Linked DNA regions of Sus scrofa. The protein of the gene in region 2 interacts with the protein of the main gene of each other region in a pairwise test. Links are inferred from orthologs where the notes say so. Each region holds a gene or a part of one and is shown on either strand. Other genes may lie near its edges.

Region 1 (7,006 bases), on a different chromosome or scaffold from region 2:
GTGACAAAAAAGGTTTTAGAACTAGATAGAGGTAGTTGCACAATGTGGTGAATGTTACTAAATGCCACTGAATTGTACACTTTGTTTTTTTTTTATTTTTTTAGGGCCGCACCTGTAGCTCATGGAAGTTCCTGGGCTAGGGGGATTGAATTGGAGCTGCAGCTGCCAGCCTGCGCCACGGCCACAGTGGATTTGAGCCTCGTCTGTGACCTGTGCCACAGCTTGTGGCAATGCCAGATCCTTAACCCACTCAGCAGGGGCAGGGATCAAACCTGCATCTTCATGGATACTAGTCATGTTCTTAACTCTCTGAGCCATAATAGGAACTCCCCAATCATACACTTTATTTAAAAAAAATATATATATATTTTTTGTTTTGCTTTTTAGGGCCTCACCTGCAGCACATGGAAGTTCCCAGGCTAGGGGTTGAATCGGAGCTACAGCTGCTGGCCTATGCCACAGCCACAGCAACATGGGATCTGAGCTGTGTCTGTGACCTACACCCCAGCTCATGGCAATGCCAGATCCTTAATCCACTGAGCAAGGCCAGGGATCAAATCCGCATCCTCATGGACACTAGCTGGGTTTGTTACCGTTAAACCACAACGGGAACTCCCCCAATCATATACTTTAATTTGTTAATTTTATGTTAGGTGAATTTCACGTCATTTTTTAAAGAAAGAAAGAAAGGGAAAAGCAACAGCTCCCTGGGTGATTTTCAGCAGAGTTTGAGACCCACTGTACTAAAAGAACAGGATCCGGAGTTGGAAAATACCTTAGAGCTTGGAGTTGGGGGAAGGATGGAGAGTAGACTTTCAGGAGGTAGAAGGAGCTGCTCTGGGGACCTCTGCCCTTCACCTAAAGACCACAAGAGAAACCCGATGGGCACAGCCTGTCTACTCACCATCCTGGGAACTGCCTACTTGCTCCTTGCCTTCGACACGGCCAATGTGAAAAGACGATGTGACACTGATGGTGCAGTGTTGATCCTGGAGGGCCTGGCAGGTGGTCCACAGCTTCCCTGTGAAGATGGGGTGGGCTGTGTGTGGTGGTGGAGGCTTGGCGCACCCTCCCCCCAGGCGTAGGAGGCACCCAAGGAGCAGCGTTTGGAAAGGGAGTGTCCTGTCCACCAACATATATTTCCCAGCTGACACTTCACGCCCCTCCAAGGCCGCCATCATTACTCTCCTGGACTGGTATGGGTCATCTCCTCCCTGGGCTCTTGGCTCTGCCCTTGACTCTCAAGGTCTGGTCTTCTCATAGGGTCCGGAAGGATCTCTTAATATAAATCAGAAATATCAGCTCCTGCTTAAAGCCCTCCAGTGATTCCTATGGTTTTGAGAATCAAACCAAATCCTTCCCATGGTCTGTGGGGCCCCTGCTTGCCTCTCCAAGCCCACCTCTTACCCCTCTCCCTCGTTCACTCTGTTCCAGTCATGCTGACTTACTGGCTACCTTCAAAGGCTCAGCAGGTGCAGGCCCACTACCTCAGAATTGTCTCAGCTCAAACATCACCTTTATGAGAAGCTTCAACTGACCAACTGATCTGAAGTCATATCACCCTGTCTTCTTACTTGTCTGTAGTCTATAGACTGTGACCAGACAGATAAGCCCTCCACCAGGTCACACTGCTTCATCTCCGGCACCCAAGACATCTCCTAATAAATGCTGTCTTCAAGAACCACTGCTAACTGACTGAGGTTCCCTAAGAATCAGTGTGGGTGACACAGTTACCAAGTGCAGGCCTCCTTTAACTGGGGGTGGGGAGACATCCACCCTCCCTGCCCATTTGGAGGGGAGACTTTCAGGTCAAATAAAAAGAAGTTCAATTGACACTAAAGAAAGACACTGAGGGACTCAAGTGTATTCCAGAATAGGGATTGGCACATATTCTCCATCAAGGGCCAGAATATCTGTTCCAACGACTCAACTCTGGTCATAGCTAGAAAATAGCCATGGATGATATGCAAATGAATGGGTGTGGCCACATCCCCACAAAAACTATGGACACTGAAATTTGAATTTTACATGATTGTCACAAAATATTACTCTCTTTTTGATTTTTTTTTTTTTTTTTTTTTTTGGCTTTCCAGGGCTGCACTTGTGGCACATGGAGGTTCCCAGACTAGGGGTCAAATTAGAGCAGCTGCAGCTGCTGGCCTACACCACAGTCACAGCAACACCAGATCCAGGCCACATCTTCGACATACACTATGACTCATGGTAGTGCTGAATGAGGCCAGATGGAAGCTGCATCCTCCTGGATACTAGTTGGGTTCGTAACCCACTGAGCCATAATGGGAACTCCTTTATTTTTTTCCCCAACCATAACAAGTTAAAACCATTCTTTGGTGGGAGGCTGCACAAAATCAGGCAGTGTCCTGACTTTGGCCTGTGGGTATAGTTTGCTGCCTAATGCACTGGAGTCAGGAAGTATCTACTTGTTTCTGCCAATTCAGCTGTGGGCTCTCTAACAGTTTCTGTGGGACACATGCTGCACTGAGTCTGACATCACTGCCTTGTTTACTCTGTATTATGTTACTATTTTCTCCAGTTGATGAATGAGGATGTGGGAGCTTGCCCAGAGTCAGAAGCTGATGGGAAACCAGCGAGCGCCAGGGTGCAAAGCCCCGGTTATAAAGTGTTCCACCATCCCCTGGAAACTCTCTCCACCTTGGACCCTCTATCTGGAAAGTGTGCCCCTGTACCAGATTTTCCTAAAGTCACTCCCAAACTGAAAATGCATTTTTTTTTTTTTTTTTTGTCTTTTTTAGGGCCTCACCCATGGCATATGGGAGTTCCCAGGCTAGGGGTCAAATTGGAGCTGCATCTGGTGGCCAATGCTATAGTTACAGCAACTTGGCATCAGAGCCATGTCTGTGACGTACACCACAGCTCACGGCAATGCCAGGTCCTTTAGCCCACCAAGCAAGGGCAAGGATCAAACCTGTGTCTTCATGGATACTAATCAGGATTGTTACTGCTGAGCCATGATGGCAACTCCACAAACTAAAACTGTTTTTGCCAACAAAAGAGCTAAGTGCCCACCCAGGTTCTGGGGGCACAATTCCCTGGGCTTAAATCCCAGCTCCACTCCTCACTGGCTGGGTAACCTCAGCCCAAGTCTGAGCCTCCCTGAGCTTGTATTTCCTCACCTGCAAAGAGGGATAACAGCAAGAGGACTGACTTTCTGGAGTTGCTGTAAATGAAATAACAACGGGTAGTGATTGCACAGATAAGTTCTCCATTTCAGGAGTTTTCGATGGTTTTATTACCCCAGCGAGTGGTACAAGTGGGACCATTGCCTGGATGTATAGAAATCTCTGGTCCTTGGTGAAAGAATAAGCCCAATAAGCCCATTGGCTCAGGGCATAGTGTTTGGGCTTGGATGCTGACTCTGCTGCTTGCTAGGGGCTTAACTTGGGGCAAACTGCTTCTCTCTCTCTGAGCCTCAGTTTTCTCATTTGCAAAATGGGGTTTATAAAAATATCAACTTGATAAGGCTGCCGTCAAGACTCAGTAAGTTAAATAAAGTACTTAAAAGAGCTCCTCACGCCAAATTAAACGTTGGTAGTTTTGATTATTTCTCACACCAAATCGTTTAACAAGCATCATTTTACAAAATCTTCATCATGGCCCAGGGAGGTAGGGGCTTACTGTCCCATTTTCCCGATGAGGAAAACCTGACTAGGTATAATACGGGCCAGGCTCGGATTTGGGTCTGGGGTCGCGGCCAGGGCCCAGGGTCAGGGGTCGAGTCTGGGACGCGGGCCGGTTTCGAGTACTGGGTCCACGTTCGCAGAGCCCCTCTGCTCCCCGCAGGATGGCCCCAACTCCGCTGCTCCGAGACCGAATGAAAGGACAGACCCCCGGCCCTTACCGGGCCTGCCCGCCCCTCCGTCCTACCGCACTTACCTGCCCTCCTCCTGACGTCACGCCGCGCCCGTCCCGGAAGTCCCTGCTCAGTGCATAAGGGGGAGTGGTGAACTCCTCGCGCGACAGGGACGCCTGCGCGAGGCGGGGCGAGGCGGCAGGTCCTCGCTGATTGGCTAAGTGTTGAACAGCCTCTCCCTTTCAGCCGCCGGAGTGGACCAATCCGGGGCCTGCCCTTCCCAAATTCGCGCCCTACACGAAGCCCCACCTTCGGCCCCGCCCACTTTCCCTGACGCAATCCAAGGCCCGCCTTTCTGACAGCGCTCTCCCGGGCGCGCGGTTCGCAATAGAAGAGGCGGTGGAGTTGGAGTGGGTGAACTCCAGCTTCCCTCTAAATCAATCCAGCCCTTAGTTTTTTTTTTTTTTTTTTTTTTTTTTTTTTTTTTTTGTCTTTTTGCTATTTCTTTGGGGCCGCTCCCACGGCATATGGAAGTTCCCAGGCTAGGGGTCGAATCGGAGCTGTAGCCACCGGCCTGCGCCAGAGCCACAGCAACGCGGGATCCGAGCCGCGTCTGCAACCTACACCACAGCTCACGGCAATGCCAGATCCTTAACCCACCCAGCAAGGGCAGGGACCGAACCCGCAACCTCATGGTTCCTAGTCGGATTCGTTAACCACTGCGCCACGACGGGAACTCCTGGCCCTTAGTTTTTTAGTGACTAGCGAGTTAAGACTTGTTTTCCCATTTTTAAATGGTTTGGGGGAAAACGAAAAGAATAACATGAGTTTGTGAAAATGATAAGTTCAAATTTTAGTGCCTGTATTAAGATTTTATTGAAATACACCTGTGCCAATTGTTTATGTCTATGGCTGCTTTTCCACTCAATGACAGAGTTGAATGGTTGCAACAGAGAGCCTATGTCCCATGGAGCCTAAAAATATACTATCTGTCCTTTTTCAGAAGTGGATCACCTCTTGCCTTAGAGCCTTCAGACCAGCTTGGTTGTGAACAGGGCAGTGGCTTTTGATTCTGTGCTTTGTAGAATCAAACAGAATCTGTTTCATCATTTGTTCTTCAACAGCTGTTTACTAGGTGCCTGCTATATGTTAGGCCACAGAAATTCAAGAGCAAAGGATATACTCTTTTTTTCACTGATGAGGCAGGCGGTGAACTGGCAATTTATCAAGGACAGTGTGAGAAATGATGACAATACTACTACTGTTGTTACTATTACTATATTATTCGGTGCCAGGCCCTAATAAGATTGTCAGTTCTCCTGTAATCATGGTGCTGCATATGGAGTGCTCACTACTCACCAGGCGTCATTAACCAGTGCTCACTACTCACATGCATTGTCTCACAGAACGCTGTTCCTAGGAGAAGGATATACTCCAGCATTCCATTTTACTGATGAGATAGGCTCAGAGAGGTCAAGCAAATGATCCAAGGTCACACAGCTATTGAGAGTGGAGGATTTGACCTCCATCCACTGATGCAAAACTTTGTTCCCGTAACATCTGATCTACGCTGCTTTGGGTTGTATGCATTAAACATAAGGGCTGTGGGAACCAGGAAGAATCTTTTTTTTTTTTTGGTCTTTTCTAGGGCCACTCCCACAGCATATGGAGGTTCCCAGGTTAGGGGTCTAATCAGAGCTGTTGCCGCCAGGCTACACCAGAGCCACAGCAACGCGGGATCCGAGCCGCATCTGCAACCTACACCACAGCTCACGGCAACACCAGATCTTTAACCCACTGAGAAAGTCCAGGGATCGAACCCGTAACCACTGTGCCACAATGGGAACTCCTTTTTTTTTTTTTTTTTTTTTGGTAAGAATCTTTAACAAGGGTGGTGTTTTGGGGAGTGGTCAAGGAGTGAGGGTCAGCAAGACCCTTGTGAGGGGTGACTCTTGGGCTGGATGAGGCAGAGCAAGGCAGGGGTGGGAGGCAAGCCAGAGGAATGCCCACAGGTTCTGAGGAACAAGCTGGGATCTGCACTCACCCTCATTCATCTTGCTTGCTTCATCTGGGTTTTGCTCGAGTCCTTATCCTGCAACTGAAAGAAGAGCTAGTGACTGAAGAACTACAAAATACCACCTTGTGAGTAATGTTTTGGGGAGGAGAAGTCTGAGAACCCTTGGCTTTCAAGGGACAAGTAGTAAGAGCCTCACTCTTATTACTCACAGGGCAGGTGATGGGAACAAACATCAGCCTGAGCTATGAAGAGACCATCTATGAAGATGCCAAGAGCAAGCCAGTTCCTGTGGGGAATTAGCCAGGAGGGCAATGAACCAGGCTGGGCAGAGTGGCAGGAAGGGACCTGGACTCTATCTCTGGAGACACTGACCAAATCACCTCACCTCTGTTTGCTCATCTGTAAAGAGGGATATCTTTCTTTTGCCCATGGGAATGAAAACATGCCTACAAATGTATTTGTAAAACAGATGGAATGGGAAGAGAGAAACCTTGGGCCAGGAAGGGCGTTCCAAGATCATGGTGTGGCTTTTGGGGATAGGAGAAGAATGACTGAAGAGGAAGTAAACTCTAAAACTGAAACCCAGATGTCCCCAGGTGGCACAGTGGGTTAAGGATCTGGCATTCCTGCAGTTATGGCTGCAGGTTGCAACTGTGGCGTGGGTTCAGCCTCTGGCCTGGGAACGCTCACATGCTGCGAGTGTGGACTTCGAGAGCCACGGAGAATGGACCCCTCTTCCACATGCCAGCCCTCCAGCTCCCTCCCACCTCTAAGAGTCTGTGGTTTGATCCTACCTCTGTCTTCATTCCCCAATCACCGACCAGCTCAGAAAGCAGGCCCAATAAGTTACACATTTTATATTTAACCTGTGGCTGTGACCAAAACCATTTGGGGTACCTGCCTAGATCCCACCCCTCCCTTTGTGTGAAAATATCCAACCTCCAGGGGGCGCTGAAGCATTTGTATTTATGGCCCAACCTTGTCTGCAACTGATTGGATCTGGCTATAGATTTAACCCAAACCGGCCCAATGAGGTTTGCTCCTGGAAATTTAGAGTTGCGATCAAGACAGGCACGGGAATCTGCTTGAGGACCGATCTGAGGTCTTCGAACTTTGGGAGGCCATCTTTAGCCATGTGCAGAGAGAAGCAGAGATAA
Region 2 (6,920 bases):
AGGACAAGACAGGTACAAATTCAATGCACCTTTAATAACCAAATGTCTTCCTGTAAAAGCAGCTTGCCAAATTTGGTATTTGTCATGTACTCAAGATGAACTATTACTTCTAAGCCTCAGCTAGTTGTGTCCAGTGAAAGAACAGCCTAAATTACCACCCTGAGGTACCATCACCACCTGTAGGCAGGCACTGGTATGACTTTCCTGAAACTTCAAGCTTTGAAGAATAAACAGTTACTAAAGGGTGAGCAGCAATGCTCAGAAAAGTTGTCAACAGTAAGCAAGTCTATAATAAATGATTAGGAAAGGGATGATCAGGGGCCCAGGAACTTCGGCATGCTGCTTAGGGTGGCAAAAAAAAAGAAAGGGAGGAAGGGAGGGAGGGAGAAAGGGATAGTCAGGAAAGAAGGCTGAGAGAGACAATGAGGAGTTACAGGGAATTAGTGAGGTCTGAAGACCTTGAATGGAGGTCTTCAGAGAGAGAATTGAGCTCCCAAGTGTGGTAGAGACCAGACAGCTAAAGCGAGGCTATTTAAAAAGAGGTGGGAATTATTATTACTATTATTTTAAATGGCCACATCTGCAGATATGGAAATTCTCAGGCTAAGGATCAAATCACAACCACAACTGCAACTGCCGGCCTACACCACAGCCAAGGCAACGCTGGATCCTTAATCCACTGAGTGAGGCCAGGGATCAAACCTGCATCCTCGAGGATATTAGTTGGCTTCTTCACCAAATGAGCCATAAATGAAACTGGGAATTTTTCTAAAGTTCAGGCAGGGGAGAAGTTTTCCACCTAGGAAGATGCCACCTCCAACATCCAAGGAGAGCAATTCCTAAACTAGACTGCACAGAAGAATGTCCCATAGAAGATGTAAAACTGCAGATTCTCAGCAAACTTCAGCCCCACCTCAGAAGTTCTGATTCCCAAGCACTGTGCCCCTCAGAGATGAGCCTACTCAGAGCTCACTCTGAGGCATGCTAGCATTGTCTCCTCAGGGAATGATTCCCAAATAGTCTCAAACAAAATTTCATTTTAATTTATGTAATTATGAAAAAGAAATCCAGCAGTTTTAGGAATATATGGGGTTGTGTCAAAAATAAATAAGTATGTGGCATTAACTGCCAAGATATTGGGAAAGACTAGCCTCGACGAATTATGACCTTTCTATTTAATTTTTCTGTACTTAAAGCATATTATAGCTGGAAGGCAATTTTTCGTTTAAATATTTAGAACAGGTGAAGAATTCTACCCAGGCATCATTTCTACAAAAGAAGCTTCTTAGGGGAAAAAAAATGACTCCAGATAGGATTTGGGGGGAAAAAAACCCAAAAACTAAAAATTCAGAAAAAAACCTTAGTGATAAACAACAAACCAAAAAATTAGATTTGAAGAAGTTATCAGGAGGACTAGGCAGGAGAGTGAAAGGATGTGAAACAGACGGCAAAAAAAAGCAATACTGCATGCAAAATGGAAAGATCTGGTCTACAGGTGGGTGCTGGCTCAGAGTAAGGCAAATGTTAGCCTGAAATGGGCGGGTCTTCAAAGAAACAGGGAGAAGAGAAAAAGGCTGATGATGATGTTAATGTTGAGGAATTAAAGACTAAGGTAAGAAAACCAACTGCTATTAGAAAAGAATCAGTCCTATAGTGTGTCTATGTCTAAACCATCAGGTTAAGGTGATTATCCTCCCATCCCCATAAGAATAAGCAGAGTTCTGGACCAAAGGCCCCACTCCCTTTCACCCTCCAGCCCACAAGGAGGTCCTCACCACAGTGCCTTAAGGAGTGGAGCTCCCAGGATGCCCACTTGAGCTGGTTTTCCACAGCATCAAGCTCAGAACTTGGTAATCCCTGAGCTTCTTCTTGAGATACAATCTCCTCTACTAGCACGTCCCGTTTTCGTCGCCGAAGAGAAACCTGGAAATAACAGGACTGGTTCAAATGAGAAGGAATCTGTTGAGAATCAAAAACACACACACAAAAGCAACCACACGAAACATATGCTGCAGAGGCCTAGATGACAAAGCAGCATAAATAATGGGGGGCAGGTGGAGGCATAAACAGAATTCTAACTTAGCTGAGTGGCATTAAATCAGCAGCTGCGCCTACTGCCATGTCAGGGCTCCTGACCCAGGAATGCAACACAAGCGGGCTTACCGGCTGTCCAGGGTCATCTAGCTCACTCTCTAAATCCTCTAGAACGGTCACTGCCTCCTCTCCATTCTCTGGATGATGCTCTCGAACCCAAGTCTGTAGCTCCTTGGGCAGGATGGCAACAAACTGCTCCAGTACTACCAGCTCCAAGATTTGTTCTTTTGTGTGTGTCTCTGGCCTGAGCCATAGACGGCAAAGTTCTCGAAGCTGGCTCACAGCTTCACGGGGCCCAGGTGAATCCTGGTATCCAAACTGCCTGAAGCGCTGTCGGAAAACCTCCGGGTCAGGGAGGTGGTTCCAAGGGATACTTGACCCCTCTTCGCCATCAGGATCCTCCTCCAACTTCACCCTCAGAATTTTTTCCTCTTCATCTGGAGTTGGGATGATAAGTATTGAATCTTCTTCCACTGACTGTGCAGACATCCTGATTTATAATACTCCAAGAAAAGACAATCAAGGTAGGAGACAGGCCTCAGGGAAATACCCTGTTTTCTTCACAGGCACTCCTGAGGCACAAGAAATGAAAACAATATAAATGACCAAATATCCTAAGAATCTGAACATACCCTGATAGAAGAAAAGAAAATGTATTTTTACTAAATTAAACATGCCAATCAATAGCCTACAACAGAAGTTCCAGTTCACTGCTAAATCTGGCCCACTGCCTATTTTTCAATAATGCTTGCACTGAGAATAGTTTTCACATTTTTATATGGTTGAAAAAAATCAAAAGAACACTTCATGTCAGGTGAATATTGATAGAAATGAAAGTGTCTGTCTCCATAAATAATTTTACTTATTTGTTCACTATTGATGCTACAACAGCGTGACTACTGTACTCTACTCAATAGAGTTGAGTAGTTGCAATAAATGCTACATGTCATGAAAAACTTAATATTTACCATCTGGCCCTTTTGAGAGAAGTATGCCAATCTATGTCTACAAAACTTGCCTATCTCGGTGTTATCTAAATGGAACACATTATTTGCAATTCAATACCGGTGTAACCTGACACACCTGAGTCACCTCAAAAGGAGGGGTATCTTTTTTAGCACCTGCTTAAAAAATTTTGACAATTTTTTTTTTTCAGGGCTAAGAAATAGTTTTAAAATGTTTAAGAACTCCCTGGACTAAAATATACATGAAAAAAATATTCACCTGCTCAATAACAGATACATGATGTTGAAAAAAACCACTAGGTGCCATAAAATTCAAATATTATTCAGTCACCCGAGACACCATAAGTACCTTTCAATTTGTAATGTGGGCATTAATCATAGCAAATTCTATGAAGAAAAGGGACTCTCATAACACCTTGACTTCCCACAGTGGCGCAGACTCTAATCCTTACACTGGATGACTCACAATCTCCCCAGCTTCTACCTTCAGGGAAACCTTGGGCTATTTCTGATCCTTTCCTTAGTATTTGCACAGTCATGCCTATGCCATTGTTTAAAACACCTACTGGGAACAAGCCATGCAGTTACTCAATATTATCTATTCAGGGCCCGGAATCTGAAAGTCAGTAACTGCCCAAAACTTCCTGTAAACCTATCAAGTCTAGGTATCAGAAAAAAATCTTACCAAGTAATATACATACAGGTTTGTTTAAGCACTCTGGAGTGTGGCGGCCTTATAAACAAGGTTTAGCCAACAGTATTCGTTTGTTCCTATTCCAAAACCCTACCTTACCATTGGCTCAAACACTCTAGAAAAATAAAATTTCTCTCCCCTTTACGTTTTCATACAGCACCCTGCCGATGGGACGTGAGGAGGTGCGGGGAATGCGAACCCGCAGTCCCAACCAGGTTTGCGCAGGGAGTCCTGTCCCACGCGACCTTCCCACTCACTCAGCGGAGTGCCGTGGCGAACCCGGCCCCCACCAGACCACTCCAGCCCCTCTTCTCTCCACACTCCCGGCTGCGGCTTTCGGAAGACCAGAGGCCACCTAGCCTCAACAGCGCCGGAGTCACGGCACTTCCGCTCGAGGCCGGCCAAACTACAAGTCCCGGCAGCCACGGCGGAGGACCGCCCACCCCCCTCCACCCGAAAAGAATCCCAGAACCCTCCGCGAGATGCCAGGGCCTCGAAATAGAACAAAACCGGCCGATGGGGGAGGGGGGAAGGCGGGGGTCGCGGAAGGCACAAGGAAGGGAGGACTCTCCAAGGGTGCCGAAAGCCCTATCTGGCTTTCTGTCTATCCCTCCCTGTCTCCCAGCTGCTGGGCGCTGAGACCGTGGCCTGTCCCCCGCGCCTCCCGGGAAGCCAAGGAAGGTCACCGCCAAGCTTTTTCGCTAACTCTTGCCAAGCGGACCACAGCCTCTAGCCCAGCCTCCCTCGCACGCTCTTCCCCCCTCTCTCGCGCAAACCTCAAGCTCGGGAACTGCAACCGCTTCGCTGTCCACGGCCGACGCAGAAACGCCGCCGCTCACAAGCCGTTTCCCAGAAGCCCCCGGCGCAGACTGCTTCCGGTCTGTGGGCCCCAGGAGGCGGGGGGTAGGCGAAGCCCCGCGTTGCCATAGAGATGCGCTCCGGGCTGGGGGAAGGGCTGTCCAACTACAATGACCGCTTTGAGGCTGCGCTTGGCCTCACGCCTCTCTCCCCTGGTTAGCCCAGTCTTCTGTGTTCCCCTTAAAAGACCAGGAAAGGAAAGAAAAAATTCTGCCACTAATGTAGTCTTTACGGTGTCATAAGTCTTTTCACATGCATTATCTCATGTGATCTTCACAGTAATCCTCTGAAAGAAGTAACAAAAGCTAATATTTATGTGTGCTAACCACGTTGTACCAGGTTCTGTCACCGTGGTTTACATGTCTTGTAATTTAATTTTCGTGAAAACCCTATGATGTAAGAACTTTTATTATCCCCATTTCACAGCTGAGGTAATTGAGGCTCAAGTAAATAGCTTGCGGAGAATACATAACTAGTAAGTACGAAGCAAGATTTGAAGCCAAGGCATGACTCTAACCTTTGGCTACCATTTGCTGTGCTATAGAGCTTTATTATGACTAATTAATTTGTCAGGGAAACAAGATGAGACTCTTAATCAAGAGCTTTGGCAATGATCGCAGAGTGAATTTGCAGAATGCATGGTTATCTTCTGACTTTAGGCTTGACATTTCATACTACAAAACAGCTGCCAAAGTGATTTAAAAACATAAATCAGACCACTTAATGCCCCTACTTAAAGGCCTTCAGTGGATCCCTACTGCATTAATTATGACATTAAAAACTGCTTACATTGGCCTGTAAGGCCCCCTGTGGTTTTTCCCTGCCCCCACCTTACCCCCACACCCCAGCTCTTAGCCTTGTTGTGGCTGGCAATCGTCAGCCTTCCTGACCATTTCTTCCTCCTGGAAGCCTTCTCACGCTCATAGCACTGGGTAGAAGTGATCTTATGTATTCATTTCACTGGTTTTTGTTTTATTTCGTTTTGTTTGTAAGTCCCATAAGGGCAGGGACCTTGCCTGTCTTGTTCACCACAGTATTCCCATGTAGTCCCGGGATGCTGACTGCCTGGTACATAGAGAACTCAATAAATATTTGTTGAATAAATGAATGAAATGTGGGCTGGTCACATTGCTGCCTTTGCTAGGTCACATGTTCAGCATCAGGAACCACACAAAAGAGCCCTGTTGTTTAAGGTCTATGTTAGAAGTACAGGTCCAGCCTTCCAGCAGCCTTCCAAGATCTTCAGGCTTCAGCTTTCTGCCTCTTTCAGAGTGCCCTTTGCAAAGTGCCCTTAGGCTCTGCTGAATTCATGAATGAGAGCGCAAGTGAGTCAGCTGATGATCCCATAGCACTACTTTACTCTCTGACCAGGATTTTGCCTCCCCAGAACACCTGCTACTTCTGATGGCCCTTCTTCTCTTTCTTTTTTAGGAGGTTTCTGAAATCCAGACTTTTTTTTTTTTTCTCTTTTCTACTTGGCTACTACCACCAACCTGCTTGGCTGCTCTTCCCAACCTTTCCGTCTTTTGTGACTCTAAAAGCTAGCTCAAGGCATTTTTGTTTTGCTTTGCTTTAAGAGGTTTTTTAACATCTAATTAATGTTGGAAAACAAAAAATATACACATCAAACAGACATATCTGGGGAGGTTAAAAATGCAAGATTTTACGAAACTCTTTGCCTGGTGTTCATTCTGTCACTTTTAATTTTTTTCTGAGAGAGTAAATGGAAACCACCATGAAGTTTTCCTCTCTAATTTGCTCGTTTGAGGGCCGGGACTGCCAACACCCACTTTGAAACACCATCCTTCTGAGCCCTACTAGGTGAGCTCTTTCCTGAATGGTGACCTCTGTTGCTATCTTAAAGATATAGTCAAGATAGAGCATCATGTTCCTCTGGGCAACCTGAATGTAGGGAAAACCTCCGTGCCAGTGCCTGCTGACCTTGCACATATCCACAGAGGCCACAGAGACAATGCTTGAGCAGCAGCTGCTCTGAGTCTTGGCAGAAAACCCTGTGATCCTCCTGAAAGAGGAGAGGCTCCTGATGAGCTGTTACAAGGCCATTTGCCACTCAGCTCCCTGTCTTCCCAGGAGGCTGTCGTGGAACCATTGCTCCTGGCTTCCCCAGGTTGTGATGAGGCTTTCTGCCTCACCTGCCTGGAGTCCAGCTGCAGACTATATAAAGGCTTAGATGCAGTGGCATTCGCACCTCAGCAACAAGGGGTTTTACAGCTCGGGTTGAAAAGAGCAAAACCCTGTGGTCTGTTCCCCCCTCCTCCTCATGTTCTCTGCCTGCCTTTTGTCTGTAG

Evidence for each region.
Region 1: the proteins of ZNF24 (region 2) and CCDC130 interact in binary tests that used the Homo sapiens proteins (3 or more experiments, as listed by UniProt). The two-hybrid records come from large-scale screens. The link is inferred for Sus scrofa from reciprocal best matches to the Homo sapiens genes ZNF24 and YJU2B.

The regions. Positions count from the first base shown.
Region 1 is NC_010444.4:65,368,144-65,375,149, forward strand, and holds the start of CCDC130 (coiled-coil domain-containing protein 130), read right to left. Parts: upstream 3,978-7,006; 5' UTR 3,916-3,977; intron 3,200-3,915; exon of another isoform or gene 3,156-3,199; intron 1,279-3,155; exon of another isoform or gene 1,022-1,278; 5' UTR 908-1,021; coding exon 905-907; intron 1-904. UniProt on the Homo sapiens protein: May be involved in mRNA splicing.
Region 2 is NC_010448.4:119,162,584-119,169,503, forward strand, and holds the start of ZNF24 (zinc finger protein 24), read right to left. Parts: upstream 4,622-6,920; 5' UTR 4,530-4,621; intron 2,672-4,529; exon of another isoform or gene 2,667-2,671; 5' UTR 2,584-2,666; coding exon 2,164-2,583; intron 1,924-2,163; coding exon 1,776-1,923; intron 1-1,775. UniProt on the Homo sapiens protein: Transcription factor required for myelination of differentiated oligodendrocytes. Required for the conversion of oligodendrocytes from the premyelinating to the myelinating state.